Linked DNA regions of Mus musculus. The protein of the gene in region 2 purifies or fractionates together with the protein of the main gene of each other region. This does not show direct contact. Links are inferred from orthologs where the notes say so. Each region holds a gene or a part of one and is shown on either strand. Other genes may lie near its edges. The genes, in order: Lzts2, Dyrk1b, Fam53c, Dcaf7, Ptges3 and Fam117b.

Region 1 (4,447 bases), on a different chromosome or scaffold from region 2:
TCCTCCTGCTGCCTCTGGGTTCTGTGTACCTCTATCCTATCCATTTGACTACTGAGAGCACCACCACACTGGTGGCTCTGATCCACCCCGGCTGTCAAAAGGGCTCTGGCCTTTCAGGACAAGCTGGATGTCCAAGAACACCGTGTGCTAGTGGGCAACCCATGTCATGTGCATTCCCTAATCCTGGACTGCTTCCCAGTAAGGAGACAGACAGACTCAAGTCTGGAGCCTGTGACTAGTGTGAGGTTTTTCACGATGGACCTGGCTCACCATAATCTGAGGGTCGTAAACTGAGAGTCCTCAAGTGGGGGGAGGGTGTCACTGCAATCATCCCCCAGCCTCAAGCAGGGTTCAGTGTAGAGGACAGGATGGGAAGGCTTTTCTAGTTCCTCAAAACTCATGGTGTGGTCCAGTAGGACCCAGGATTCTACTAGATTAGTCCTAAGAATTCCATCATAGGTAGGCGAGCAGCCAGCAAGCAGAGATGGATGTCAAACAAATTCCCCTGCAGTTTCTTTATCCATTGCACTTTTTTTTTTTAAAACAAAACTTTTTTTTTTTTTTAAATTTTTTTCCCCTTTGGGTTTGTACAAGAAATTTACAGTGTGAAAAATATACAAGTGGAAATGAGGCCGTAACCCTGGAACTAGGGAGGACGGCTTGGTCACAAACACAAATAAACAAGACATTGCTGGGTTCTTCCTTTGGTCTGACTTCAGCCCCCTCAGCCCAGAAGAGGCTTGCAGAGCTCAACATGGGGATCAGCCCCATGCCCGGCCCTGCCCCTCCACGTGGACATGTTGAGGGCAGGCACATCTGGAGCAGCTGGTTGCCCTCGGGCTCTCTCTGGCTTCAGGCAGGTAGATGCGGAGACAGGGAAGCAGCCTCTTTCCCTTCCCAGCTGGAGTGGGCTGGCAGTGGCGACAGTGAGGGAGTGAAATGGCAGAGTAGGCAGGAGCCTCTGGGTGACGGTGACACAGAGGGTTGATTCTGCTGCTTCTCCAAGTTACGGAGCCACCCGAATGCTCGGCCGAGGCCCTTTGGCTCTGAGACCTGGAGCGCGTGCTCAGTGGATCCCCGGGCAGGTGGGCCTCTGTGGCTCAGACCCCTTGCAGAGCCCTAGATCTCAGTGGCAGTGATCTCCTCCAGACAGATGCAAGGGGCCGACTCCGCCAGGCCCAAATCCGCAAGCTCGCGGGCCTCCAGCTCCAGGCTCAGTTGCTGCAGTTCCTGCTCCAGCTGCCGGTTACGCCGGTACATCTGGATATAGTTGTGCTGCAGCTGCTTCTGGTAGCGGATCACCTGTTCCTTCTCTGCCTGCCAGGCCAGCCGCTCCCCCTCAAAGCTGTCCCGTTGCTCGTCCCCTCGCCGCTGCTCCCGCTGCAGTTCTTGGCGCAGCCGTTCCACCTGAGCCCGCAGGCTACCCCCTGCCCCAGCCGCTGCCCGCTGCACCTTGGCCTCATCACTCTCTGCCAGGAGGAACGGGTCGGTGGTGGCAGGGGGTACAGGGGGATCCCGGAGTCCCGATGCTTCGGCATCCAAATGCCCGGCCTTCTCCCGGAGCCGCTCAGCCTCCTGGCGGTACCGCTGAAGCTCCTGCGAGCAGGCCTCCAGCTCCTGCTCCCGAGCTCGGGCTGCCTCCTGCAGGCCCCTGGCACGGCCCTCACTGACCCGCAAGGTGGCCCGGGCCTCACGGAGGGCCACCCGCAGCGCCACCAGCTCACTGCCCTTCTGGACCAGCTCTGCCTGAGATTCCTTCAGTTGCTGCTTCAGCAGGGAGATCTCACCTGATTTCTGACACACCTGTGGGTGCAAAGTATTGAGGAAAGATGGTGAGGCCTCTAGGTACTGGGCACTGGGCGGTATGCTGGGTATTCCAGAAAATGCAGTTTCGGGAGTTTACGCATGGACGCACAGCAGGAGGCGAGCCTAGTGATGCCTCCATGGTTATACTTCTAGTAAGAGGCGAAAGGAGAACAAAGACCCAGATCTTTTCCTTTCAATGCCAGGATTCTTATGCCAGGATTCTTTATAAAGACTGCCCAGGCCTGGGGATGGTGGCACAGACTGCAGGAGTGGAGTGCGGCAGTCCAGGGCAATTCTCACATGTCAGGTGAAAGGCAAGCATCCTGGATTAAGAGAGGACATCAAAAACAAACTGCCTGGTCAGGTGGTGGTGGCACACGCCTTTAATCCCAGCACTTGGGAGGCAGAGGCAGGCAGATTTCTAAGTTTGGGGGCAGCCTGGTCTATAGAGTGAGTTCCAGGACAGCCAGGGCTGTCAGAGAAACCCTGTCTTGAAAAAAAAAAAAAAAAAAAAAAAACCAAAACAAACAAAAACAAAAGCTGCCTGGGTTTGTATCTCAGCCCAGCCACCGCTACTTTAATTCAAGGCTCTAGCTCAATTTTCCTCATTCATGAAACGGAGGTATTAACAGTACCCATCTAACAGAGAAGGAAACGCCACTAGCTGTGAGGTCACTAGATCACAACCGTGAGATCCAACAGAGGCACAAGGAATGCTCCAACCCTGACAAGGAAGGACAGACCCGGAACGGTAGCTACTGTGGGCCAGCTGTGCAGAGCGTGACCCCCTTCATCCTGCCCGGCGTCCATCATGCATACCTCCCATTTGGTCTCCTCCAGCCGTGGCCCGAGTTCCCGCTGCTCCCGTTCAAAAGTGGCACAGCGGCGCTCCAGCTGTTCCCGCTCCTGTAGCAGCTGGGCAAAGTCATCCTGCAACTGGCGCTTCTCTTGCTGCAGCTGGAACACCTGCAGCTGCAGCAGCTGTTGGGCCCGCTGGACGCGCTGCGTGGCCTGCTGCGCCTGGGCTGCACAGTCCTCCCCTCGCTCCCGTGGCCAGCGCCGCTGCCGTGCCCCGAATGCCTAGGGAAAGACTTCAGGCTAGAAATGGTCCGGTCCAGTCCCTCCGCCGCCGCCGCCGCCGCCGCCGCCGCCGCCGCCGCCCCCCTCCCCCCCCGATCATGAGCTCTACCATCTCCTGCTTGGGTAGCTCCCTGCCTGGCCTGAATCCAGTGAATTATGACAATTATAAAAGCAGGCACTTATATGGCCTTTCCTAGGTATCAGGTGTTAGTCTAAGGACTTTATCCTTTTTGTCTTATTTAATCTTCATCACCCCCTTAGGGAGTCACAGTTATCTCCATTTACACAGGGAGACTGCGGCCCGGTGAGATTGATTAACTTGCTCAAACCTAACACCCTACAAAACAGTGCTGGGTCCAATTCCTATATACCCTGCCTCCTCACCGCTTTGAAGGTTAAGCTAACCAACCTTGGGGGGGAGGGGTGTCACACCAGGAGTCTTGACCCTCTCCCTCCCCAACAGCAACGCTCTGGGTATTCAGCCCCACGGCCCCAGGACTGCCATTGGCCGCACCTGACACACTGTGGCCTCACTCTCATCCATACTGTCCCGCAGCTGCTGCAGCTCTGCCTCGCGGTCTCTGAGCTTCCCTTCCAGGACACAGTGTAGCAAGGCCTCATCCGAAGGGGGTGGAGGTGGTGGAGGGGGTGGAGAGCGGTCTCCACCAGAACTGCTGCCAGGGGAGGCCCGGGCACCACTGCCCAAGAGCCCCCCAGCTACACGACCCCCCAAGGAGCCCGTGCTTTTGCTGGAGGAGGACCGGCCACTGTCTGAATGGGAGGGCCCAGTAGGGACCCCTCGGGCTGGACCAGGCAGTGCCCCTCGGCCAGGGCCGTGGGAGGGCAGGTGCCCACCTGGGGAGTTGGTGGTTGGCTCGGCACCTCCAGTGCTGTAGGTGGGCAAGCTGGATAAAGAATTTCGGCCAGAGTCTGACAGCGTTCCTGAAGGGCAGCCACTGGCCCAACCACTCAGTGCCAAGGGTTTGTCAGCAGCAGAGGAGGAAGAGGAAGAGGAGGAGGAAGAGGCTGGCCCCCCAAACAGCTGTGTCAGGCTGCCCTGGCTCCCAGATAGCCCAGCAGCTCGAGGACCAAGGAAGCCGGGTAGGGATGGCGCCCCCCGAGGTTTGGGTAGCACTGGCTTGAAGGCTGTTGGCCGGATCAGGATCTTCTCCATATTCTGAAATGAGGCACCAGTTGACACTGTGAGGGTGATCTGCCCAGTCCCTTGCCCTTTTTAAAATGTTATTTCTGTTGCTTTTCTGAGACAGGGTTTTACTTTACTGGCCCGAGCTCACTCACTTTGTATCCCCAAGCTAGGCTTGATCACAAGCAAGGTTTCTCTGCCTTTTAAGATTACAGGGGTGGGTGGGGGGTGGGTGGGGGGTGGCTCAGCGGTTAAGAGCACTGACTGTTCTTCTGAAGGTCCTGAGTTCAAATCCCAGCAACCACATGGTGGCTCACAACCACCCGTAATGAGATCTGGTGCCCTCTTCTGGTGTGTTCAAAGACAGCTACAGTGTACTTATGTATAATAATAAATAAATCTTTAAAAACAAAACAA
Region 2 (5,380 bases):
TGATGCACGAAGACTGTTAGCTCAAGGTTCATCTGGATATATTTACTGAGACCCTATCTCAAAATAGTCAAGTAACAAAAGGTCTGGAGATGTTCTGGGGTGGGGATGGTTGAGGGGAGGACCTGTTTGCCTATTACATATAAAGCACTGGGCTCGATCCCCAGAATAGCAAAGCAAAACCTCCAAAAGTATCACCATCACCAAAACCCGAACTACCAAAAGAGCCTGCTCTCGTCTTTGCTGTGTCTACCCATGTGCCAAGGGATACTGGCTGTCCTCTACAGAGTCCCTTTCCAGAGGAACTGAAGACTGGGACATATCTCAAGAGCCAGAGCTCTAGAGGCCACTGCTTTTCACATCCTCAGCTGTTGAGTCTGATGTGAGAGCACTGAGTGCCTCAGTCTCTCCAACATGTACTCAGAGCTGCCCCGTCCCTCACCAGCTGCGGGGAGGTAATTCAAAGCAAGGGTTTGCAACACAATCTGGCCCTCAGTGAGCACAAGAGAGAAATCCTGAGCACAGCAGGAGAATCAAAGGATGAGAAGCCCAAAGACCCTCGTGGAGGTCTCTCTCCCACAGGCACCCTGCACCTGCCCAAGCCCAGGCCTCACCTATGTAGTACTTCATCTCTGTATCATGCTGGTTCATCAGCTCCAACAGCCGTAGCTCAATCTGTGCCTGGTTCAGGAAGGCCTTTTTGTTCTTGATGATCTTGATGGCCACCAGCTCCTGAGTCTGGTGATCATAGGCTTTCACCACCTGTCGAGACAAGGAGAGTTACCTGGGAAGGTGGGAGGCCCACCAGCCACACCTTTCTAACAACTCACAGCCCAGTGCTCACATCCCTTATACTGGATACAAAATAACAGTTTTCTTACAAGAAGCCTTGTGATTTATACTCATACAGAACTAAGAGGGAAACTAAGTGGCTTGACTGGCTGGTCCAGGACAGAACTTGCAGCAAGTGAACCAGTGAACCACTCGGGGAGGAGGGAATGTTGGGAATGTTAGTGGTTGTCTGCATCCAGATACTGGATGAGTGGGGAGTCCCACACCTGGCCAAAGGAGCCTTTGCCAATAAGAGAGTCAATCTCATAGCGCTCTAGCCAGCGCTCGCCACTGCGCACAATGTAGTCGTGGTTGTCGTCATCATAACCGTGGTTCAGGACCTTCTTCTCCTTTTTGGTGCTCGAGTCCTGGGGTGGCGCCTGTTGGGCCCGCCGCTTCTTCTTCGCATAGTATACCTGCTCAGGCAGCCAGGAAACCGGACCCTTAAGTGACCCGGGCAAGAAGCCAGGACCCTTTGCAACACCCAACCAGGGAAGTCCATTCCCCGCTTTACCTCATTGATGTGCTTGTAGGTCTTGATGAGGTCCACCGAGAGCTTGCGCAGCGGGGCTGAGGCCGCATCCCGGAAGGCCAGGGGCAGTCTCCGGGGCAGGAGCCGCACATCAGGTAGTACCTGTGGTAGAGCGGAGCAGATGCTGAGCACAAGCCTTCACCTCAACTTCCAGGGAGAGAATGGGAAAGCTGACGACTCACTGACCATGCCTACATTTCTCTAGCTCCGATCCCACCTGTAGAGCACAAGCACACTGTGTGGGCTCCCCATTCATCTGTTCATTATGTGAAATGAGTGATTTACCTCTGGCCTTCCATTCTGCCCCAGGTCAGCTCTTTTGCTCCATATCTGGGTGTTTACCCCTGAATCTTTGCACCTGAGACCACCATTATGGGGAACCATGCCAATGAATTCCCTGTATCCATGTCCTCACTCTCAAGTGAGTGTTTCTGCCCAGTTACAAAGCTCCTGGACTGGGTTAGTCTCCCTGGTCTCAGCTTATTCTCATTTCCACCCCCCTCGACATCTCTCTCATGCCCCTTACTCCAGACCTCGTTCTTGTTGTGAACCTTCAGACCTGTGTTCCTGTCTGCTCTGTGCCAGTGACAGTTCTGACCCAAGACACACATTACACTTCAAAACCATGCTGTGAGAGGGCAGGCCACGGAGAAGCTCAAGGATTCCGTCCTCAGCAGGAATGAGGGTGGACTGTGAGGCCTCCAAAGTCCCCAGAGATCCTCCAACAATCATGCTCTTGTCTGGAGACCCTTCAATCCTCAGGCAGGTGAGAAGCCAGCTGAATGCCTACCTGTGTGTGTTCCTGGGGCCCCGGAAAGCCAGAGAAAGGACCATGGCCTGGTGGGACGGCCATGGTGGGCTCAGAGGGCCGCAGGGGCGTGAGGCCTGGAGCGGGAGCCCGGCCGGGGGGCGCCTTCTCGCATCCTGCACCTCGGCTGCCACCGCCGCTGAGACCTGAGAGCAGGTAGGAAGTGGGAAGACAACATGGAACAAGAAGGCATGTAGGTCAGGGTCAGTCAGAAGAGGTGGGTATGAGTTAGGGGCAGGACCAGGGGGAGACAGGGGACAGGGCAGAGCACCAGCACCAGGTAGCCATGTACAAACAGAAAGGGTAGCAAGTGGGTTAGCACAGCGTGTCTCTCAACAAATGAGGAGCCAAAAAAAATGAATGAAGCATCACATCCAGAGATGTAAAAGGGAGCCATCAGAGCCAGACAGGGGTGGGAGAGGGTGGGTACAAGGCCAGGGCAGGAGGGATAGAAAGAGGCCAGGAATTAGGAGAGCAAAAGAAGGCAGAAACCGTGTAGAGTCTGGGCAGTAGAACTCAGTCCTTCAAAATTTTACTGGTGGCCAGCCTGAGTCCCTCAGATAAGGCCCCGCCCTCACACCGTCTTCCCTCAACACCAAGGGCCCAATTTCAAGCCCAGTCTACCCACTAGTTTCTTTCTATTCTAAAGAACATAGCAGTCCTTATGGACCTCCCAGCAAACCCAAGGTTATCTGAGAACTCCTTTACATGCAAGCTATAGATGTTTCAACCACCTCGGCACTTTCCCCTGGGACCGACTCCATACTCCAAGACCGCTCCCTGCTCCCTATATGAGGTCTCTGGAACCAGAGATCCTTCTTTTAAGCAGTCTATATTTATCCCACTAGGATTCCCCCATTACTCCAAGACCCCTACTCCTCAGGAAAACAAGGGAGAGGTGTCATTTTTCAACATCTAAGAGTCACGGTCTTTTTCTTCTTTACCCTGAGGTCCTTGCTAGCTCCTCTATTTCTACGCTGGGTCATTCCACAATTGAGCCTATTCCTAGAAGGGCCTGACAGCCAAATCCCTAAATATCGCACAAGACTTCACTCACTAAAAGTGTCCTTCGGAACAAAATCCCCTTCTTAGGAGCCTCCCCCTTGTCAGATCCCCTTCTATGCTATGTCTTGCCACTCCAGGTCCCCTTTATTGGGGCTTCACAGATAAACAACCTCTTCCCGAGCCCTCCCACACTAGGACCAGCTCTTACAGCTCCCACCCCTACCCGGGTCAGGGATGGCGCTGGGCCCACGGGGGGCTGGAGCGCGATGGGGACCCCAGTGCGGTGGGCGAGCGGCCAGCATGGCGGCGGTGGTGGTGGCGGCGGCGATGAGGAGGTGGCCGCCTGTCCCCGGCCCGGCTAGCCTAGCCAGCCCCGCGGCGGTGAGGGCAAGCGGGACAGGCGGCCCGGTGGGTGACAACAGCAGCCGCCGCCACTGCCACCGAGGGGGAGGGGCGGGGAAAGGAGGGGACGAGGGTCAGACCAGGGCACGCGGGGGAAGGGGACAGCAGGTGGACGGGGGAGGGGCGGGTTAACCCTCGCCCTACGGCCCAGCCCCGCCCCGCGTGGCCACCCGCCCCCAGGGACCCTGGCGTCCCGCCCCCCACCCGGCAGGCCCGCCCCGGCCAGTGGAGTCCCGGCGGGCGGGGCCCAAGAGAGCCCGGCAGGCCGCACCTCCCATGGCAACAACCGCGCCATTGGTTGTTGCTGCCAAGAGCTTAACCAATTAGCACTCAGGGCAGCTGTTGCTAGGCGACAGCGAAGCGGCCAGCGCAGCCGAGCCCAAACAAAGGGCGGGAGTGGGGCCTGGCTGCCCCCTCCCCGACTCCCTCTCAGGACGGCTCCCTCGGGCTCAGCCTCTTCCAGGAATCCAGCTATGAAGAGCCGGACTCCGCTGCAACGGCCCAAAGCCCCCTCCTTTCCCTTGCTAAATCTCGCGGGGACGGGCAGGGCGGTTCCCGGCCTGCCCCCCACCCAAGCGTGCCGCCCCGCCCGTCGCAGCACCCTTACCTGAGGGCGTGGGTAAGGGGATTCAAACTGCTCGGGGAGCCCGAGCTCAGACCTGCCCACTGGCTGAGGGTGTCCGGTGGACGCGGCGAGCCAGGGCCCCGATTACCCAGTAATGCAACCAGCAAAATGGCGACCACAACAAACCGGCCCCCCTGCCCCGGCTCCGCCCCCACATCATTCACGTGACCTAGCGGAGCACAGTGCGCCTGCGCCTTAAGGGTGCTGAGCCGCGCACGTGCGGAGCAGCCACCAATGGAGCATGCACCATGTGACCGGATGAAACTTTCCAGGCACCACCCCCCGAAGCACACAAAGTTGATCAAGGGCGCATGCGTCTCGAGGCCACTTAGCAATAGGCACCAGACAGGGGAGACAGATGAGTCTTTTAATAGAAAAACAAAACAACTCCCCCGCCCCCAAAAAATCACAAGCCACACGTGCAACAGTAACAACACACATCTCTTCAATCCAGACAGCTCTGAGTTTCAGTTCTTCACCTTGGGAGGTGGCCTGTGAGGAAATCAGAGGGGGTCGAGTTGTAACCACTTTTGGCTTCTCAGGGCCACAGGTAAGGGAGAGGTCTGTTGTGACACTCACCTGTACACACCGACAACCACGGCGTGGTCTCGCTCATAAGGCTCTAGCGTCAGCTGCTCCTGCGGCTTCATGTTCTCCTGCTGCATCTTCTTCACTTCAGATGCAAACACAGCCTCTGCTGACGCAGTGGAGTCAATGCAGTTGGCCTAGAAAGGAGTCAGGACTAAGTTACAGATTTGGAGACCCAGGCTTTCCCAATTTTCTAACTTCATTAAAGAAGTTTTAATTTGGCTCACATTGGAAACAGGTTATTTCATTTATCTAAGGCAGTGTTTAAGGTCAGGAATTTTCTTCCATATCCTGGAAGCCCAGCTGGCAAAAACAGAACAAATGTAGCAATAGCAGCCTGGTCTACAGAGTTGAGTTCCAGGACAGCCAGGGCTATACAGAGAAAACTCTGTCTTGAAAAAACAAAAACAAAACAAAACAAAAAAAAAACCCAAAAACAAGTGTAGCAATAGGTTGGCCAGTTTTGAACATGGTGAGGATGCGCGAGAGTTTTCCCTATTTAAAATTAAAATGTTTTGAAAAATGTACCTGCTGCAGTTAATATTGTACCCCACAATCTGCTCCAAATGCTTAGCAGCTATCAGTCTTTATT
Region 3 (3,679 bases), on a different chromosome or scaffold from region 2:
TGCCCGGAGCTCTCCCGCGTCTTCCCCAGAGCTGCCCTGGAGACCCCGAGGTCTCCGAAACCTTCCCCGAAGCCGCTCACAGCCTTGTGATCTGGATGCCCGCAAAACTGGTGTCAAGCGGCGTCATGAGGAAGACTGCAGGCGCCTTCGGCCTTCCTTGGACTTTGACAAGATGAATCAGGTGGGACTGGCAGACCAGAAGCTGTTTAAACATCTCCTAATTCCCTACCTTCTGGCAAGGCCTCCCTGGGAACTCTTCTGTCTAGAGTTTATACAAGAAAACCACCCTGGCAGTATTGAATTTTAACCTTTAATGTCTTCTGCCCTGTCAAGTTAGTCCTTAGTATTCTAAAGAAACTAGACTGAGGCCTTAAGCCTTCAGACAGGGATCCTAATTGTCCTGCCAGAGGCACTTTTCCTCTTCTCTGAGAACTCTAGACCACAGGATTCCTGTCCTCAGTGTCTCCTCTGCAGTCTCAGGGCTGGTTTTGTTCCCTGGCTTCAGTGCCCCCTGTCAGCCTTTGGGAGCTTAAGCAAGATGAGCAGTGGCTTTCTAAGCCCTAAGCTGAGAGCAGCCACTGTGGGTGACTTGTCCCCTTTTGCCATAGTTTTCCTTCCAGATCGCTTGGTCATAGGGCTCTGAGAAGTTGTTCTCTTAGTCATCCAGCTATTCAGAAAGCATTCATGGCAAAATCTATGTGCTTGAGTCTGCTTAGGCATTGGCAGTGAGTGGCCAGATAAGCAGATGGTGGTGTGGCCTCCACTGGACCTTATAATTGAGAGGGTTTTGTTGTTGTTGTTTTGGGTTTGTTTGTTTGTTTGTTTGGTTGGTTGGTTGGTTTTTCTTCTTTCTTTTTTTCTTTTCTTTCTTTCTTTTGGTTGGTTTTTCTCCTTCCTTCCTTCCTTCCTTCCTTCCTTCCTTCCTTCCTTCCTTTCTTCTTTTCTTGATAAGGTCTTTCTATTTAGCCCAGGCTGGCTTCAGCCTTTTGAGCTATGAGGTTTCAGATATCACCATGCCCCATCATAACTCAGCTCTGTTCTTTTTTGTGGCTCTTGTGTGTGAGTGAACCTGTGTTCTTAGGCTATGTAAATACTTTGCCACTGAGTTAACAATACTCGCTCTGAGAGCTTCTGTTCATTGTTGCTTTGGGTTGGTTTTTCGAGCCAGGGTCTCATAGTTATAGTCCTAGCTGGCCTAAATGCACTATGTGACAGGCTGCTCTTGAACTGGCAGAGATCTGCCTGCCTCTTCCTTATAGGTGCTGGAAACTGGGCCAGGAGGTGGTGCAGGCCTTTAATCCTGCTCACGGAGGCAGGAGACAGGCAGATCTCCCTAAGTTTGAGACCAGACTGCCGTACAGAGCAAGTCCCAGGACAGCTGAGACTATAGAGAAACCCTGTCTTAAAAACCAAAACACACCAAAAGGTGGGAACTGGGGTGCCTTCCCCAGAGAATGTACACTAAATGTTCCAGATTTTATGATTTGGAACCTTACTCTAAAGCATAAAATTTCAAGTGTAACTGAGATGAACACTTTACATTTTGGAAGGCCAGGAGAGATGGCTCAGTGGTAAGAACATAGGCTGCGCTTCCAGAGAACCTGAATTTGATTTTCAGCACCTACATAGTGGCTAACTGTCTGTCAGTCCATTTCCAGAGGCTTCGAAGTCCTCTCAGGCCCTCTGCAAGCACACGGAGTACACACATGTAGGCAAAACACTCAACACAGAAAATAAAAAAAATCTAAGGGGGTTTTATTTGTTTGTTTGTTTTATTTAAGTGACTTTGGGAAATTACTATATATTTTTTTTAATTTTGTTGACAGAAACCATACTCAGGAGGTCTCTGTCTCCAAGAAACAGCCCGAGAAGAAGGCAGCAACGTCTCTCCACCATGGTTCATGGCCTGTAGTCCCCCACCTCTCTCTGCTTCCTGCAGTCCCGTCGAGGGTTCATCCCAGGTGCTGAGTGAAAGCGAAGAGGAGGAAGAGGGGTCTGTGCGGTGGGAACGGCAGGCACTGAGCAAGCGGACATTGTGCCAGCAGGACTTTGGGGACCTGGACCTGAATCTGATTGAAGAAAACTAAAAGTGAGAGGCTGCTTCCTGGGCCCATGCAGACTGTGTAATGGTTACTAACACGTGTGAGGGCCCCAAGGCTGAGGGCCCAGCCTGGGAAAGGGGGTGAATGGAGGGCTCCTACTCAGGGCAGCCCAAGTCTTCCTGCTCCAGCAAACTCGACCATGCCAAGAGACTGGCGGGGACAAGATAAATGGAGCTGGTGACGGGAGGGACAGCCCCAGAGCAGACCCTCCCCATGGCGGCCCTGAGTGTGAGTATCCCTGCCACTAAGAGCAATGGGCAGGGAAGGAAGGGGTCTGCGACCCCAGCTCGGGGAATTTCACTAGCCCCTTTGCTTCAAAGGGCACTTGTGTCTTAGAATTTGGCCAGGGTGGGGGGGTTCAGTCAGCCTCCTCGGAGAAATTGTGTGAGTGTGCGTGCGTGCACGGGTGTGTACTTGTGTGAGTGTGTGTGCGTGCATGGGTGTGTACTTGTGTGAGTGTGTGTGCGTGCGCGCATGGGTGTGTACTTGTGTGAGTGTGTGTGTGTGTGTGCATGGGTGTGTACTTGTGTGAGTGTGCGTGTGTGCACGGGTGTGTACTTGAGGAAAGGTGCGTGCGTTTGTATAGCCTTAGGGAAGGAAGGCAGTTGCTCCTTTAACAGCAGAGCGTCAGGATACCCCCAGGATCTTGTGGGTTTTTTTGTTTGTTTGTTTCCTTAATATAACATTGGGCTTGTTCAAGGTGTCAAGAGGAGAGAGTTTTTGTTTTTGTTTTTGTTTTTTTTTTCGGTCTTAATAGCTCTGGAGCCAGGCTTTTAAGTTCATCGCATCACTGCTCTGTAAATGGTTCTGTTTTGGGGTCTAGCAGAATCTTTTGAGTACTATGATTTCAGCTAATGGGCTTTTCTGAAGTCCCGCCCTCTCCCACTAGATGAATCTAGTATTGAGGCTTGAGGCAGTCCCCACACTTGTTGTTTTCATTGTCTAAGCTGTCTGCAGCCCGCTTCTCTCGCTTGCTGAGAAGCTGCAAGCAGATGGACAACTGAGGCAGAGCTAAGGAGCTTGGGCGCTCTCCTCTTCCCCAAGGGGACCTTTCCTTTTCTGATCTTACAAGTCAGAGACAGGGTTGCTCTCCAAGAATGTGTTGAGGCAGACCAGGAGCAGTGACATTATTCCCTGGAAGTCCTTGAGGCCACCCTCAGCACTGCCTTTTGGAAGCTGGCTGTAGGGAAACTTACTCTTGCAATATCTAGGCCCGGTCTCTCTCTGATCTGCTTGAAAAAGAGGTAGGGTGTTCAGCATTTAATAGTTTGCTTGTCTTCCACACTTGCCAGGAAATGTTTATTTGCTTCTAATTGGCCCTGAGAGACCACAGAGAGGCTGGGGCTCACCGAGGGATTGACTTGGGGTGTGTAAAGCAAAGGCTATGAGAAGCAGCTGGGAGTTTGTTGTTGTTGGATTGAATTTCTTTTTTTGTTTCTCACCCACAACTTCAGCCAGTGCAGCAGATCCAGTGGTTGGAGGGATGGACTTGAAGATTGCAGTTACCTTGGTAGGGTTGGCACCTGTGGGCATGCATATAGAAGCTGTCACTATGCATCCTGTGAGGCTTTGTTTAG
Region 4 (4,712 bases), on a different chromosome or scaffold from region 2:
ACCAGGGGCTAAACACAAGTTCCTACAAGACATTGTTTGGATCTCGAAAGTAGGTTTCTTGAATCGCCTGAGTAAGAGAACCTTGAGATGTTGAAGAAGATACAATGGCTGGGGACGGTGGGGATGGTGAGGCTCAGGTCACAGCTACTCCTGTCATGTGGAAAGCTGGCGCTCTTCCTAAGCCCTTGACTCGCCTGGCACTCTGTGATGCAGTGTTTGCCCTGGAGCATGCCCTCCTCATCCTTTGGCATGACTGGGAATATAGACAGACCATAGAGGGTAGGATGGAACAACTTCAGGTGCTCTGGAAAAACTGTTTCCTTTAAAGTATGGCACTAGAAAGTTCTTACAGTGGTTTGATTATCAGTTCTCTTAAACTCCAAAGTGCAAGAAGGAGGAGGAGGAGGAGGGGGGGGGGAGGAGGAGGAAAGGAGGGGGGAGGAGGAGGAAGGAAGGAGGAAAGAAGGGGGAAGGAGGAGGAGGAGGAGGAGGAGAAAGAAAGAAGAAGAGAAACACTCCATGCATTCAGGAGTGTCCATGCATTGCTGGCTGCTCTTGCAGGGGACCCAGGTTCAGTCCCAAGCTCCCACACAGCAGCAGGGAAATATCTGTAACTCCGGGGCTCTGATATTCTTTTCTGGCCTTCTCCAGCACCAGGCATGCAAGTGGTACACAGACATACATGCAGATAAAACAGCCATACACATAAGATGAAGAAAAAAAAAATGGTTTCAGGTAAGAGATGGGTTCATTCAGACGAGGTGGAGATCTGAAAAAGAGGAGTCTCAGGCCTCGGGACAAATCAGGCAGTGGAAAGCTGTGCCCACACCCTACAAGTACAAGTTGTCTTCTTCTGTCTTCTTCACTCTGTTGCAGCTTTTCCTGAATCTCTATGCAGCAGTGGATCTGGCCTTTTCCGTTTTCCCTTTTAAACAAATACCTGGGACTAAGTTGGATTAAGTCCCCATGTTTCCAGAAATGGATTTGGTTGGCTCGGTCATCCAGCCTAATGTGGCAAAGCTAGTGCAGTGCCCTCAACCCTGACTGTGCCAGGACCCCTGGGGGCTCTCGCAGATATGATGCTTGTTTGTTTCATTACCATAGATTCTCATTTCACTGCTCTGAATATTGCTTGGGCCTTGGGATGTTCTTAAAGTTCATTGTAATATAGAGCCACCATTGCAACCAGCTGATCTGAGAAGAGCTTGGGGTCAAGCTGTAGTCATGGAGTGCTTAGAAATTGGAGTCCTGGATGGGTAGATTATTCTCCAGTGGCATCTCTATTTGGATCCTCCATCTTTCCAGTTGTCTAGATATACACTATGCTAGAATAAACTGAAATATTTCTTTAAACTTTAAGACTCGGGATATAGCTCAAAGTCAGACACTTGTGTGGCTTTGAGTTCAAATACCATTACCACATACATCTTTCTAATACAGAAATCCTGCTTTTGGGACTTGGGTACCAGAAATAATGACAGCAGTATCCAAACACAGGGAATATTAGAAATAGGTACAAGAAAGCTGAATTTGGAAGCAATAGCCAACTGTATGAAAAGAAAAACACAAGCCCTGTCATTAAGACACTAAGGGAAACTACACCAACCAGTAATGTCAGTGTCTCATGAGGCACTATGGGATTAACTGTCAAATGCATCATACTGGTAATTACTAAAAGACAGAGTCAGGAAAACTGCCAATGCTTTGTGGAAGAAGTAAGATAGAATGTTGACACTTGTACATTGGGAAAGGCAGTTTACACAGTTATTAAGAGTAGGTATCAGGAACATCTCAACTCTACAGGTTGGGAACCAGGATTAACAACAGTGATGCAGCTGAGGCCCTGCAGCTAGTGAATGGTAGAGTCCTGGAAGCCTGATGTCACTGGTGTATTAATAGTAATCAGGATTGAGGTTGATGAAAAGGGTGTAGACATAATTTACAAACTTGGAAAGATGTATAAGGAAAGGGAGAATATGGAAAATGGTGATTAGAAGAGGGAATGGAAGATAAGGTTAGCTGGCATTGGGTGGCAGTCAGCGTTGGCCATTGGGTCTAGAGAACCTTAAGTAGGAGATGTTTCACAGGATCTGATATTTGGGGTTTGGGAAACATGTCTTACGATGGATGACAGGCAACTTTTAGAAGTGAGTGTAACCCCTTTTTCCAGTTTCACTTTGAAGTTATCTACTTCCTGTGTCCTTCTACTTACACCTAAAAGGAAGACTTCTAAGATCCTAAGGTCACTCACTTCCTCGCCTGTTCAGATTGAATTTGAGGACTGGAGAATTGCCTCAGAACTATTATCAGTGATAGTGTTAAGAATACATCTCTTCTAGGGTAGTGGTGGTGCACGCCTTTAATCGCAGCACTCAGGAGGCAGAGGCAGGTGGATTTCTATGAGTTTGGGGCCAACCTTGTCTACAGAGCAAGTTCCAGGACAGCCAAAACTACCCAGTGAGACCCTGTCTCAAAAAAAAACCAAAAGGAGGAGGAAGAAGAGGAAAGGAGAAGGGGAGGAGGAGGAGGAGGAAGAGCAGCAGCAGCATACCAGTGTATTACCTGTTGCTTTGCTTTTATTGCTCTGGAGTTTCAGAGCTTGGGGTTCTGTCTCCTTTGCACCCATACTCCTTATCTCCCTACACATTTACAGACCTTGGACATCTCTGCCTAACTGCTAGAAAGTCTGCTGATGACTAAGTGTGTAGATAGACACAGGAAATTCCTTACAAATGTATAATTGTACCAAAGTTAAAGATCTAAAATTAATATATTATTACTAATTTTAATAATATATAATTAAAATAAACTATTTCGACATAATATCAATAAACAGTTGAAAATGGGGTTTAAAAATCATGGTAGGTAGTGTAGGGAAAAATACAACTAAAACCCTAAAAAATATATTTGAAGTAGCATACAATTACATAGAAATAAAGTTGGTGAAAGAGTTGAAGATCTCTCTACACACCAAACTTTAAAGCATTGCTTTAACAAGCTGAAGGTGACCTAAATAACTAAATTCCCAAACTGAATCATAGATTCAAGACAGTTGGAGTCAGAACCTCAACGGCATTTTGTACATTTTAAAGAGATGCTCTTAAAATTCACACAGAAAGACAGTAGCGCAGAAGAGCAAAGGTTTACAGAGAACTGAAACTCAATGGGAAAACCACTGGACCCAATAAATAGAGCAAACCCTCAGAAGGTGGAGACAAGGCCTGTGTGCACAGTGAGCTTGAGGGTAGCACAGACTCCATGAAGCCTTGTCTCAGAAGATACTCTTCACAACACCATAATGCCAAATATGTGTCCTTTACTTCCTAAAACTCAGAATGGAGCTGCGTATGGTGGCACAAACCTTTAATCCAAGCACTCGGGAGGCAGAAATAGAATATCTGTGAGTTCAAGGCCAGCCTGACTCAAGAAGCTAAAATGGGGGCTGGGAATGTAGCTCGGTTGGTAGAACACTAGCCTAGCGTACATGAAGCCCTTGTTCAATTCCCAGCACCTTCATTAAGTAGGCTGTGATCGTACTTTCCTGCAACCCCAGTGTTTGGGAGGGAAGGCGGAATGATCAGATGGTCTCAGAAAACGGGAGAGGGAGGAGGAGGAGGGTCATTCAGCACTTAGAGTCAGAAAACTTGTATTCAGATCTTCTATCTTTTTCTATCTTCGTAGACTGTACTGAACCCTGTGGTTCTTGAGTTTTTATCTAGTGCTGGGATCAGAAGTCTAGGGGTCCTTCACCGTAATAACTTGACTGCGCACTCAGTGTAGTCGTGTCAAGACTGACCAGAAATCTGATGTGTTTGATCCTGCTCAAGAAAAACAAACTCTCGTGTGGTTCAATTGTGCTGCTTTGCAGGTTCAGCTTGTTGGTTTAGATGAGGAGAGTTCAGAGTTTATTTGCCGAAACACCTTTGACCACCCGTACCCTACCACAAAGCTCATGTGGATTCCTGACACAAAGGGCGTCTATCCAGACCTCCTGGCAACAAGTGGTGACTATCTCCGTGTGTGGAGGGTAAGCAGAGGCTTTACCTGCGGGTGGCCAGGCATGCTTTCTTGGGGACAGCTGACAGCAGTGTGCAGTCCTGAAGAGCAGACAGCTAGTATCACTGCCACATGGAAGAAGCACAGGACGTGCCTGTGGACTGACCTTGTTTCAGCTCAACGGGTTTTCTAGGAAATGTAGCCCAGGTCTTGCTGCTGATGGGGACAAGCCTTCTGTGAGGCAGAGAGCACTTGGGACCCCCTACTCCATTACTAGACAAGACACTCCTGAGTAAGGAGATGGCAGGGTGTTGATCTTGATGCACTCTGTGTGGAGCTTCTCTTCTCAGCTGAGCTCAGCAGCCTCCCTTGTGCTCGGGAATCCAGGGCCTGCCCCGAAGGCAGACAGGCTGCTAAGAGCTCTAGAGCGAGGCGTTGGTGAAAGCTGAGAGAGCTAAGCTGGGGAAGGGGGAAGTTGTAAAAGAAGTCCAAACTCAGGAGTCCCTTTGGGTTTTATTACCCTTTATCATAAAAATATTTTCTCCTGTTCTTAGATTTATTAAATAGGATTTTAAAAAAAGATTTATTTATGTATGTAAGTACAATGTTGCTCTCTTTAGACGCATCAGAAGGTGGCATCAGATCTCATTACAGATGGCTGTGAGCCACCATGTGGTTGCTGGGAATTGAACTCAGGACCTCTGGAAGAGCAGTCA
Region 5 (4,712 bases), on a different chromosome or scaffold from region 2:
GATAGCCAGGGCTACACAGAGAAACCCCGTCTCAAAAAATCCAGCACACCATGATGGTCCTGTTTTTTTTTTTTTAAATTCTTTTTAGGGGAGTTGAAGAGATGGCTCAGTGGTTAGGGTTACCAGTTGATCAACAGTAACTGTCCCCTCCCCATCCATCCCCTGAGACAGGGTTTCTCTGTGTAGCCCTGGCTGTCCTGAACTCAAGAGATCCACCTGGTCTACAGAATGAGCTCCAGGACAGCCAGAGCAACACAGAGAAACCCTGTCTCAAAGGAACGCTTCACCCTAAGACCATCTCTTCAGATGTTTGTCCATCATATGTAAGCCTGGTGCCTGAACAGTCCAGACATGATAAAGGCTACCAGATCCCCTAGAAATATAGTTATAAGCAGTTGTGACATGTCCTGACTACATGGGTTTCTGTCCAGAAAACCAAAAAGGGTGACCAAGGAGTGGTTGAGAGCACCTGTTACTCTTTCAGAAGGCTGGGGTTTGATTTCTAACAACCACATAGTGGCTCGGAACCCTCTGTAACTCCATTACCAGGGACCCTGACACCACCTTCAGACTCTGCCTTGGAACCATGTCCCAAGTGGTGCACAGACACATATATGCAGGCAAAAACTATCCATACACATTAAAATGGAAAAAGAAAAAAGGGATTAAAAGGATTATATAGAATATATTATGGGAACAGGGTAGAAAATGCAATTAAAAAAACTTACCTCAGAGAAACGGTCAAAATTCGACATGTCTTCATCTGAGTCATCCTCCCAGTCTTTCCAATTATTGAAGTCCACACTGAGCCAATTAAGCTAGAGATCAACAATATCACCTCCATGTTATTCATAACCAGTAATGAGACATAAAATCAGCTCAAAAAGAAAAATCCACAAGAAACCAAGAGGGGTAATAAGTCAAGGAATCATTTTTCTTCCCCCCGAGACAGGGTTTCTCTGTGTAGCCCTGGCTGTCCTGGAACTCACTTTGTAGACCAGGCTGGCCTGGAACTCAGAAATCTGCCTGCCTCTGCCTCCCTAGTGCTGGGATTAAAGGCCTGCGCCACCACAGACTGGCTCCAGGAATCATTTTTGACTGTCCAATTTAACCTTTCATACAAAAACATTTATTGGGAAGTATTGCATGATACCTGGAATTAATCCAATTTACAAAGGCTAACATTCAACTATTAATCCGTCTTTAGAGATGGATTATAGGTCATGCTGTTAGGTTGTTTCCAACCTACAGCTTTGTGCATATTAGGTATTCTGTCAACTGAGATACCCCAGTGCCACTGTTTACAGTCTACGCAGTACCTCACTATGAAGGTACTTGGCTGGCCTCAAATTCAAAGAAATATCCTGTTTCTAACATACTCTCCCCTTGTACCATCTTGTGATCAGAACTCAGGCCTTCAGGTTTGGCAGTTAATCACCTTCACCCTGCCAGCCTATCCTCAGTTCCTTGAATCTTGAATGTCACTAAACTTTGCTCCCCTACAGTAACCAAGTAACTTATCAGTATGCTGGCTAATTTGTCACCTCAACACTGGTTACAGTCCTCTGAGAGGAGGGAACCCAACTGAGAAAAATGCCATCGTAAGATCCAGATGTAAGGCATTTACTTAATTAGTGATTGAAGGGCCGAGCTCACTTGGGGTGGGGGTCATCCCTGTGCTGGCAGTCCTGGGTTCTATAAGAAACAGAGGCTGGACAAGCCATGAGAAGCAAGCAGCACCCTCCATGGACTAGCAGCTCCTGCCTCCAAGTTCTTGCTCTGCTATGATGGACTAAGAATATGAAGTATAAGCAATATAAATAAACTCTTTCCTCCCCAAATTGTTTCAAATGGTGTTTCGTCACATCAATAGTAACTAAGAAACCCAGGCAAGCTAGTCTTGATGTCACAACCTTTCTGCCTTAGCCTCAAGTGTGCCACCACACCTGATGCAAAAGTTTGTCTCTCCAATGCAAAAGATCCTAATCAACTACGGTCTGATTTTATGACATTTGATGAGAATGCCAAGTATAGAACACCAGCTTTTTTACAATTATAAAAATGTATTGCCGGGAGTGGTGGCACACGCCTTTAATCCCAGCACTCAGGAGGCAGAGGCAGGTGGATTTCTGAGTTTACAAAGTGAGTTCCAGGACAGCCAGGGCTATACAGTGAAACCCTGTCTAGAAAAGCCAAAAAAAAAAAAGTATTTTTAGGCTTAAAAAGATTCTGCCTACAGGCCAGAAGAGGGCACTAGATCTCATTATAGATGGTTGTGAGCCACCATGTGGTTGCTGAGAATTGAACACAGGACCTTCCAAAGAGCAGACAGTGAGTGCTCTTAACCTCTTAGCCAGCTCTTTGCCCTATTTTTATTTTATTTTTTTAAAGTACAGAATAGAGCTTATTCAGGACATAGGGAGGGGAGTTAAGAGAATAGCAGAAGCAGAGAAAAGCAGAGGAGAAAGTGGAGAAGTAGAGGCCAACCATGACCACTTGGAGAGGGGAGGGGGCAAGACGGAATGGGGAGAAAGGGAGAGCAAAGGGGCAAGAGGCAAGCGAAAGAAGCAGGAGTAAAAGACACCTATTTTTAATTCTTAAAACATTAAAACAATCAAACAGAAACCAAAACAAAACAAAAAACCCAACCTACCTTTGCCCTTTCCTTTGTTAACCTAGGCCATGACTGGCCGGATTCTCCTTTTCGCAAACAACATAAAATCGATCTGTCTGTTCTTTTATGCTTGGAATCCTACAACAAAAGCATCATATCACTCATCTCTCTGCTATGATAAAAACAGCCCTCCCACCATACTGCTAAGGGATAATATTTAGGACCTTGAAACATGCTAGGAAAGTTCTCTGTAACAGAGCTGGACCTTCATAATTTGGTTGTTACTGTGCAGCCCAGTCTTGAACCCAAGATCCTCCACAATTAGCCCCCTGAGTGTTTGAGGGATCCTCTACACAAAGTTTTGTCTCTTTCCTCTGAGGTGGTTTTCCTACATAGGCAAAGCTTTTCTGAGTTGCTACTACTTCCTAAACTTTCAGCTTATAGCCACAAGCCTGATTCATTTTTTAAAATTTCTTTCCAAACAAGCTTTTTGGCTACTCAAAATTTCTGATAGAAGATAGAAAGATTTCAAAGGTACTGTCATTTTGCCAGTGACAGAATAAAAAATATGTAGGAAGAGAGGTTGCTGAGTGTCTAAACTGTTAGGCTAAGCAGATTTAAGATTTAATGTTTATTATTGTGGTAGTTTAAATGAAAGTGGCCTCACAGGCTCATAGGGACTGGCATTGTTGAGAAGGGTGGCACTATTGGGGGGAGTGTGCCTCTTCAGGTGGGCTTTGATGTCTCTTCCTGCCTCTCCAGGTGTAGAACCCTTAGTTACTTCTCTGGCACAATTATCTGCCTACATGCCATCATGCTTCCCTCTGTGACAACAATGGACTGAATCCTTGAGCTGGAAACCAGCCCGTTTCCCTTTATAAAAACTGCCATGTCATGGTTTCCTCACAGCAACAAACCCTAAGATAACAGCAGCACGCCCAGCTTCTCATCATTTAAATCAGAAAAAAAGCATCAATGGTACTTACATTTGGATCGATACAATGAAAAAGATCAATTTCATTTAAATGCTTAAAATTATCGCTTCCTCCAAGACAACTAAAAAAAAAAAAAAAAGTGAGACAGAGAAAGAGATTAGAAAGCCAGTTACATACAGTAAGCTTTGGGTAACACAGATGTAGAAAGGTGGCTGGCTAGTTCATGTCAATTCTACACAATCCTAGAGACAGGAGCCTCAAAGGAGAAAATGCTTCTATAAGATCAGACTGTAAGAAGGCCTATACTATAGTACATTTCTTAGTGATTGATAGGAAAGGGCCCAGCCCATTGTGGGTGCCCCCACCCCAGGATTCTGTAAGAAAGGCTGAGCAAGCCAGTAAGCAGCACCCCACCATGTCCTCTGTCCTGCTTCCACTTCCTTTGATGATTAACAGTGGATCCATAAGCCCAATAATCCATTTCCACCCAACATCATGGTGTTTCATCACAGTAATAATAGACACCTTAAATAAGACAAAAGGCAAATTACCTGAAAGTAAGTTTGGATTTTTCAAAGTTTACATTAACATCTTTACTGTCTTCAACACAAAATTCAATGAATACATAGTCCCTTCGATCGTACCACTTTGCAGAAGCAGGCTGCCTATAAGTAGAGAAAATGATAAATTCAAAAAGGAATTCTTTGAGTATTTATAACTTCATATTTAACAGTCATTTATTTCTCTTCTCCATCACAAGTTTAAATTTCACTTTACATTTATCTTACATTCCAAAGGCTTCAACAAAGTACTTTCAGGAAGACTTAAAACTTTCCTAATAGGGAGTTTATTCTGGGAGATGAGGGAATGAGGCAGGGCTCTTAAGTAGCCCACATTGGCCTTGAATACCTGATCGTTCCTTGCCCTACCCACACAATGCCATTCATTTATCATAGGACAAAAAGTAGGCTTTGGAAACAAACAAACCAGGTGGTAGCGGCTCAAGCAGTAAGTAGGAAGGCAGTGGAACCTCTGAGTTTTGAGCCCAGCCTGGTCTCATCTACAGAGTGAGTTCCAGTACAGCCAAGTCTATACAGAAAAAAATATATATATATCTCAAAAAAAAAAAAAAAAAAAAAAAAAGAATCAAACGAAGCCAAAAA
Region 6 (4,712 bases), on a different chromosome or scaffold from region 2:
TAAAGAAGCAACACATTATAAAAACATAGCAAAATTGATACATGAATTCTTCCATTGACTAGCACTGGGTGGCATGCAGGTGTTTTCATAGTGTCAAAGATTTCAGGGCTTGAGCACTGAAGAGTACATTCCAATTTACAGGTATCTAGAAATATGCTGATGAATATTCAGGAGAATCATTTTATTATAAAAAGGCTCAAAATATCTTAAAGTTGCTGGACTTTAAACAAAAGACTTCTACAGATAACAATATAGGGAAATGTAAATCTTTCTTCTATCTACACTGTGATGTGAAGTAATGGAACTTCCCTTTATGTAACTTAGATCTTGCAGCTACTATATAGATCACACAGGCAAGTATAATTCTGGTATAATGATTTATATGACAGATAAAGGGGCGGAGGCATTTTCAACACATATTCCAAGTGGTGGGGGTCATGGGATGTGAACAGGCAGAATGGTGCTGGCATGTAACTTCTGGGATAGTGAAGAGAATGCAGGCTCAGAGGTGGTGCCACTGTTCTGGGAGACATCTTGGGTGACATTCAATCAAGGAACATGATTAATAGAACATGGCTTCCCATCATTGGGAGGAGAGGCCCTGGGTCTTGCAAAGATTATATACCCCCCAATACAGGGGAATGCCAGGCCAGGAAGCGGGAGTGGGTGGGTTGGGGAGCAGGGCGAGGGGAGGGTATAAGGGACTTTCAGGATAGCATTTGAATTGTAAATGAAGAAAATATCTAATAAAAAAATTGTTTAAAAAAAAATACATGGCTTCCATTAAGATAAAAAGAAAACAAAAACCAAAACCAAAAACTAAAATTAGAGAACCCACAGGAGACTGTAGACAGGGTTGGGCTCACAACTCCCATCACCCAGTTCTTCAGAGGTTTACTCTTATTTTATTCATCAGTTCAACAACGTTTCCAGAGTCATGGGGACACCAGAATCTTCCTATAACATACCCAGGCCTGGCTCCCTAGATGGAAAAGCCTTTTGGATGTGGTTATCACAATGGGCTTCAGCATTGCCTATTTACAAAAGCCATGGTCTGTTTGGATGCTCCAGCATCTTCAGGTCCAATGAGGTACTTTAAACACAGGCACAGCCATCTTGCAGGGGTACCAGGTGGCCCTCCTGAAGTGCCCAGGCCAGGCTTTATGTTTTCAGGCCTGTCTGTCTATTCTATCCTAACCAATAAGATGACATTTCTTGGAGTAAGTCCTCTATGTCGAATTTAGTTTGTAATTACAATTTTTCAATGCAAAAACTTAACTGCAAACAGTACTAGAAGTCTTTGCAGCCTTTCATTCTCCATTACCAAGAGTGCAATACTGTGCTGCTGATCCACGGCTTTGCAAATGCTCCTCAAAATCTCCTCAAGCACTTACTACTCAGGTATACGGTTGCTGTTCCTGAGAAAACAGCAACAGTGAGCCAGACACAGCTTCACCTTACTGGGATTCACTGTCTAGTAAGTATGAAAAACAATGGGTAAATGATTGTACAAATGTCTAATTAATTACAATGTGGTAATACTATAAAAAGAAACTCCAAACTAGCATGCAATCATGAACTGCTTGTACAATATTGGACTTCAATGTTTGTTTGTTTGTTTTCCCAAGACAGGGTTTCTCTGTGTAGCCCTGGCTTTCCTAGAGCTCACTCTGTAGACCAGGCTGGCCTCAGAGCTCTCCCTGCCTCTGCCTCCCAAGTGCTAAGATTAAAAGCACATGTCACCACCTCTAGCTGGACTTCAACTCTTTAACTATAAATTTATAAATTATTATATGTTAACATTCTAGCATCCTCTTAATTAGTCAATTTGATAGATGTAAAAGTATGAAACTTCACTTTCAGACTACCATTTGTTGAGATGTTTACATTTATGGAATCTATTAGCAATGGAGCCAGTAAATGGGCTTAGTAGTGTATGATAGCGCACTGCTGACCTATGTTTAATCCCTAGAATTCATGTAAAGTTGGAAAGTGAGAATTGACTTCACAAAGTTGTGCTCTAATTTCTATATGCACTCAAGCACTCTACAGTATAAGCATGCAGATATGTGAGCACACACACACACACAAAATCAACAATGTAATATAGCTCTCCCAAAATATAAAGGTTTTGGGGGCACAAAAATAAATGGTATGCAGAATAATCCTCTACTACAAATTTTTGAGTCTAAATTCCAGACATGAAAATATTGTGAGAATGTAATCTAACTTCTAAGGAATAAATAAGGGGAAGTATGTTCGCAATTATATATTTCTATGGGAGTTACTTTTGAGAACTTTTAGAAATTCATGCTCCCAGGCCAAACAAATCCAGACAAATATCTGGAAGGTAGGCCTGGAAACCTGTACTTCTCAAAAGCTTCGGAGGAAATTCTGGTGTGCACTCAATGCTTCAGAGAAGAACAAGTAAGAGAAACCTACCTGTGTGGCCTTGTCCCTCATGCAGGGTGCGGCTTGCCCACGAATGTCTCGGGGCCAGTGCCCAGCAAGGTATGGAGCTGCGAGGGTATCCAGGGAAGATGTGCGTCGGATAATGCTGGAGGAGCTTGAGGAAGGCGGGTGTGTTTTGTCACCTAGGTATAAAGCAAAAGTGTTCATGTAAAAAAATTTTAAGCTTTATAGAAGTTCTTCAACTTAAATATGCAAAAACAAACAAGTAAGAACAAGGCAATAAACAAAGCCCAGACCCAATCTAAAACACTGACCACAAAAATAGAAGAACAGGTATTGATAACACAACTCACAGTTGATTCCAAAGGGCTAAATACTATCATTTCATATGTAGTATATTTAAAATAAACTGGCCGGGCATGGTGGCGCACGCCTTTAATCCCAGCACTTAGGAGGCAGAGGCAGGCGGATTTCTGAGTTCGAGGCCAGCCTGGTCTACAGAGTGAGTGCCAGGACAGCCAGGGCTACACAGAGAAACCCTGTCTCAAAAAAACTAAATAAATAAATAAATAAATAAATAAAGCAAATACTGTTAGTTCAGAACCTTTAGGCTTCAGCCTTAGCAACTAGCTATGCATACTCTTAAGTCTGACTCTAAGAAGACAACTAATAAAGACCCTTAGAAAATACAGTTCCTGACTGAGAGAGGTCTGGTGTGGGAAGCCACATGTGCCGTTGCAGAGTGGCACTGACTACTGCTGGCCACCACGCATAAGTTTGGACAAACAACCAATGTGTACATATGCAGTAAAGTTTTTTGCAAAGACACTGCCTGGCCCGGGCATGATAATGAGGTTCTGTAAGGTACTGAGAGTATAACCAATCAGATGTGAGACATGCAAATGAGGTATGATAATGAGGCTCTGTGAGGTACTGAGAGAGTAACCAATCAGATGTGAGACATGCAAATGAGGTATGATAATGAGGCTCTGTGAGGTACTGAGAGAGAGAGTAGCCAATCAGATGAGGAACATGCAAATGAGGCATAGTGCATAACCAATCCGGGTGTAAGACACGCCTCTCCTAGGCCTATAAAAGCAGCACCAGTTCTGGGCTCAGAGTCTTTTCGCCTCTACAATCAAGCTCTCCCAATAAACGTGTGCAGAAGGATCCTGTTGCAGCATCGTTCTTCCTGGCCAGTTGAGCGCGCGCAAGAGTCTGGGCAAACAACACCCTAACAGTGGTATGGTTTTTTTTTTTTTCATGTGCTTACATCCACTCTAATTTGATAGCACTGTCTTTATTTTTTTAATTGGATATTTTATGTATTTACATTTCAAATGTTATCTTCTTTCCTGGTTCCCCCCGCCCCCCCATCACCTCCCTCCCCCTGCTTCTATGAGGGTGCTCCCCCACCCACCCAATCCCGACTCTCCGCCCTAGCATTCCCCCTACACTGGAGCATCAAGCCTTCAAAGGACCAAGGGCCTCCCCTCCCATTGATGCCCAATTAGGCCATCCTCCACTACATAGATGGCTGGACCCATGGGTCACTCCATGTATATACTCTTTAGTTGGTGTATTAGTCCCTGGGACCTCTGGGGGGGGGGGTGTCTGGTTGGTTGATATTGTTATTCTTCTTATGGGGTTGCAAGCCCCTTCAGCTCCTTCAGTTTTTTCTCCTCCATTGGTGACCCCATGCTCAGTCGAATGGTTGCTTGGCTGCGAACATCTGAGTATCTATCTCTGTATTTGTCTGGCTCAGGCAGAGCCTCTCAGGAGACAGCTATAACAGGCTCCTGTCAGCAAGCACTTCTTAGCATCCACAATAGTGTCTGGGTTTGGTGTCTATACATGGGATAGATCCCCAGGTGGGGAAGTATCTGGATGGCCTTTCCTTCAGTCTCTGCTCTACACTTTGTCCTTGTATTTCCTTCAGACAGGAACCATTCTGGGTTAAAAATTTGGAGATGAGTGGGTGGCCCCATCCCCCAACCTTGCCTAACCTCTGGATATGGTCTCTGTAGGTTCTCCCTCTCCTTTGTTGGGCATTTCAGCTAATCTCATCTCTGTTGGGTCCTGGGAGCATCTTGTTTTCCTGGCATCCGTGATTTGCTGGTAGCTTCCCCAGTTCCCAGTGAAATGTTTTAACAGCTAAAAGCACTTGTTGATAAGGCCTGATGACTTGAGTCCAATTCCCAGATCACAAAAAGATGAAGGATAGAACTGACTCTACAAAGTGGTCTTTGGATCTCTCCACATACACAAGCTGTGACATATGTGTCCTATACATAGCTATC

Evidence for each region.
Region 1: the proteins of Dyrk1b (region 2) and Lzts2 purify together in Homo sapiens (affinity purification with mass spectrometry; 3 studies listed by BioGRID and IntAct, counting the BioPlex papers as one, with this or other methods). This does not show direct contact. The link is inferred for Mus musculus from reciprocal best matches to the Homo sapiens genes DYRK1B and LZTS2.
Region 3: the proteins of Dyrk1b (region 2) and Fam53c purify together in Homo sapiens (affinity purification with mass spectrometry; 3 studies listed by BioGRID and IntAct, counting the BioPlex papers as one, with this or other methods). This does not show direct contact. The link is inferred for Mus musculus from reciprocal best matches to the Homo sapiens genes DYRK1B and FAM53C.
Region 4: the proteins of Dyrk1b (region 2) and Dcaf7 purify together in Homo sapiens (affinity purification with mass spectrometry; 10 studies listed by BioGRID and IntAct, counting the BioPlex papers as one, with this or other methods). This does not show direct contact. The link is inferred for Mus musculus from reciprocal best matches to the Homo sapiens genes DYRK1B and DCAF7.
Region 5: the proteins of Dyrk1b (region 2) and Ptges3 purify together in Homo sapiens (affinity purification with mass spectrometry; 3 studies listed by BioGRID and IntAct, with this or other methods). This does not show direct contact. The link is inferred for Mus musculus from reciprocal best matches to the Homo sapiens genes DYRK1B and PTGES3.
Region 6: the proteins of Dyrk1b (region 2) and Fam117b purify together in Homo sapiens (affinity purification with mass spectrometry; 3 studies listed by BioGRID and IntAct, counting the BioPlex papers as one, with this or other methods). This does not show direct contact. The link is inferred for Mus musculus from reciprocal best matches to the Homo sapiens genes DYRK1B and FAM117B.

Annotation. Positions count from the first base shown.
Region 1 is NC_000085.6:45,023,158-45,027,604, reverse strand, and holds the end of Lzts2 (leucine zipper putative tumor suppressor 2), read right to left. Parts: intron 4,064-4,447; coding exon 3,401-4,063; intron 2,887-3,400; coding exon 2,626-2,886; intron 1,804-2,625; coding exon 1,120-1,803; 3' UTR 501-1,119; downstream 1-500. UniProt on the Homo sapiens protein: Negative regulator of katanin-mediated microtubule severing and release from the centrosome. Required for central spindle formation and the completion of cytokinesis.
Region 2 is NC_000073.6:28,178,443-28,183,822, reverse strand, and holds the start of Dyrk1b (dual specificity tyrosine-phosphorylation-regulated kinase 1B), read right to left. Parts: upstream 3,508-5,380; 5' UTR 3,476-3,507; coding exon 3,397-3,475; intron 2,315-3,396; coding exon 2,151-2,314; intron 1,463-2,150; coding exon 1,343-1,462; intron 1,245-1,342; coding exon 1,056-1,244; intron 760-1,055; coding exon 612-759; intron 1-611. Other genes in the region: Fbl (rRNA 2'-O-methyltransferase fibrillarin), read right to left, coding at 4,668-4,692, 4,780-4,925.
Region 3 is NC_000084.6:34,768,772-34,772,450, forward strand, and holds part of Fam53c (protein FAM53C), read left to right. Parts: coding exon 1-181; intron 182-1,826; coding exon 1,827-2,087; 3' UTR 2,088-3,679.
Region 4 is NC_000077.6:106,042,823-106,047,534, forward strand, and holds part of Dcaf7 (DDB1- and CUL4-associated factor 7), read left to right. Parts: intron 1-3,868; coding exon 3,869-4,027; intron 4,028-4,712. UniProt on the Homo sapiens protein: Involved in craniofacial development. Acts upstream of the EDN1 pathway and is required for formation of the upper jaw equivalent, the palatoquadrate. The activity required for EDN1 pathway function differs between the first and second arches.
Region 5 is NC_000076.6:128,068,174-128,072,885, reverse strand, and holds part of Ptges3 (prostaglandin E synthase 3), read right to left. Parts: intron 4,215-4,712; coding exon 4,101-4,214; intron 3,671-4,100; coding exon 3,601-3,670; intron 2,753-3,600; coding exon 2,654-2,752; intron 819-2,653; coding exon 729-818; intron 1-728. UniProt on the Homo sapiens protein: Cytosolic prostaglandin synthase that catalyzes the oxidoreduction of prostaglandin endoperoxide H2 (PGH2) to prostaglandin E2 (PGE2).
Region 6 is NC_000067.6:59,946,935-59,951,646, reverse strand, and holds part of Fam117b (protein FAM117B), read right to left. Parts: intron 2,595-4,712; coding exon 2,443-2,594; intron 1-2,442.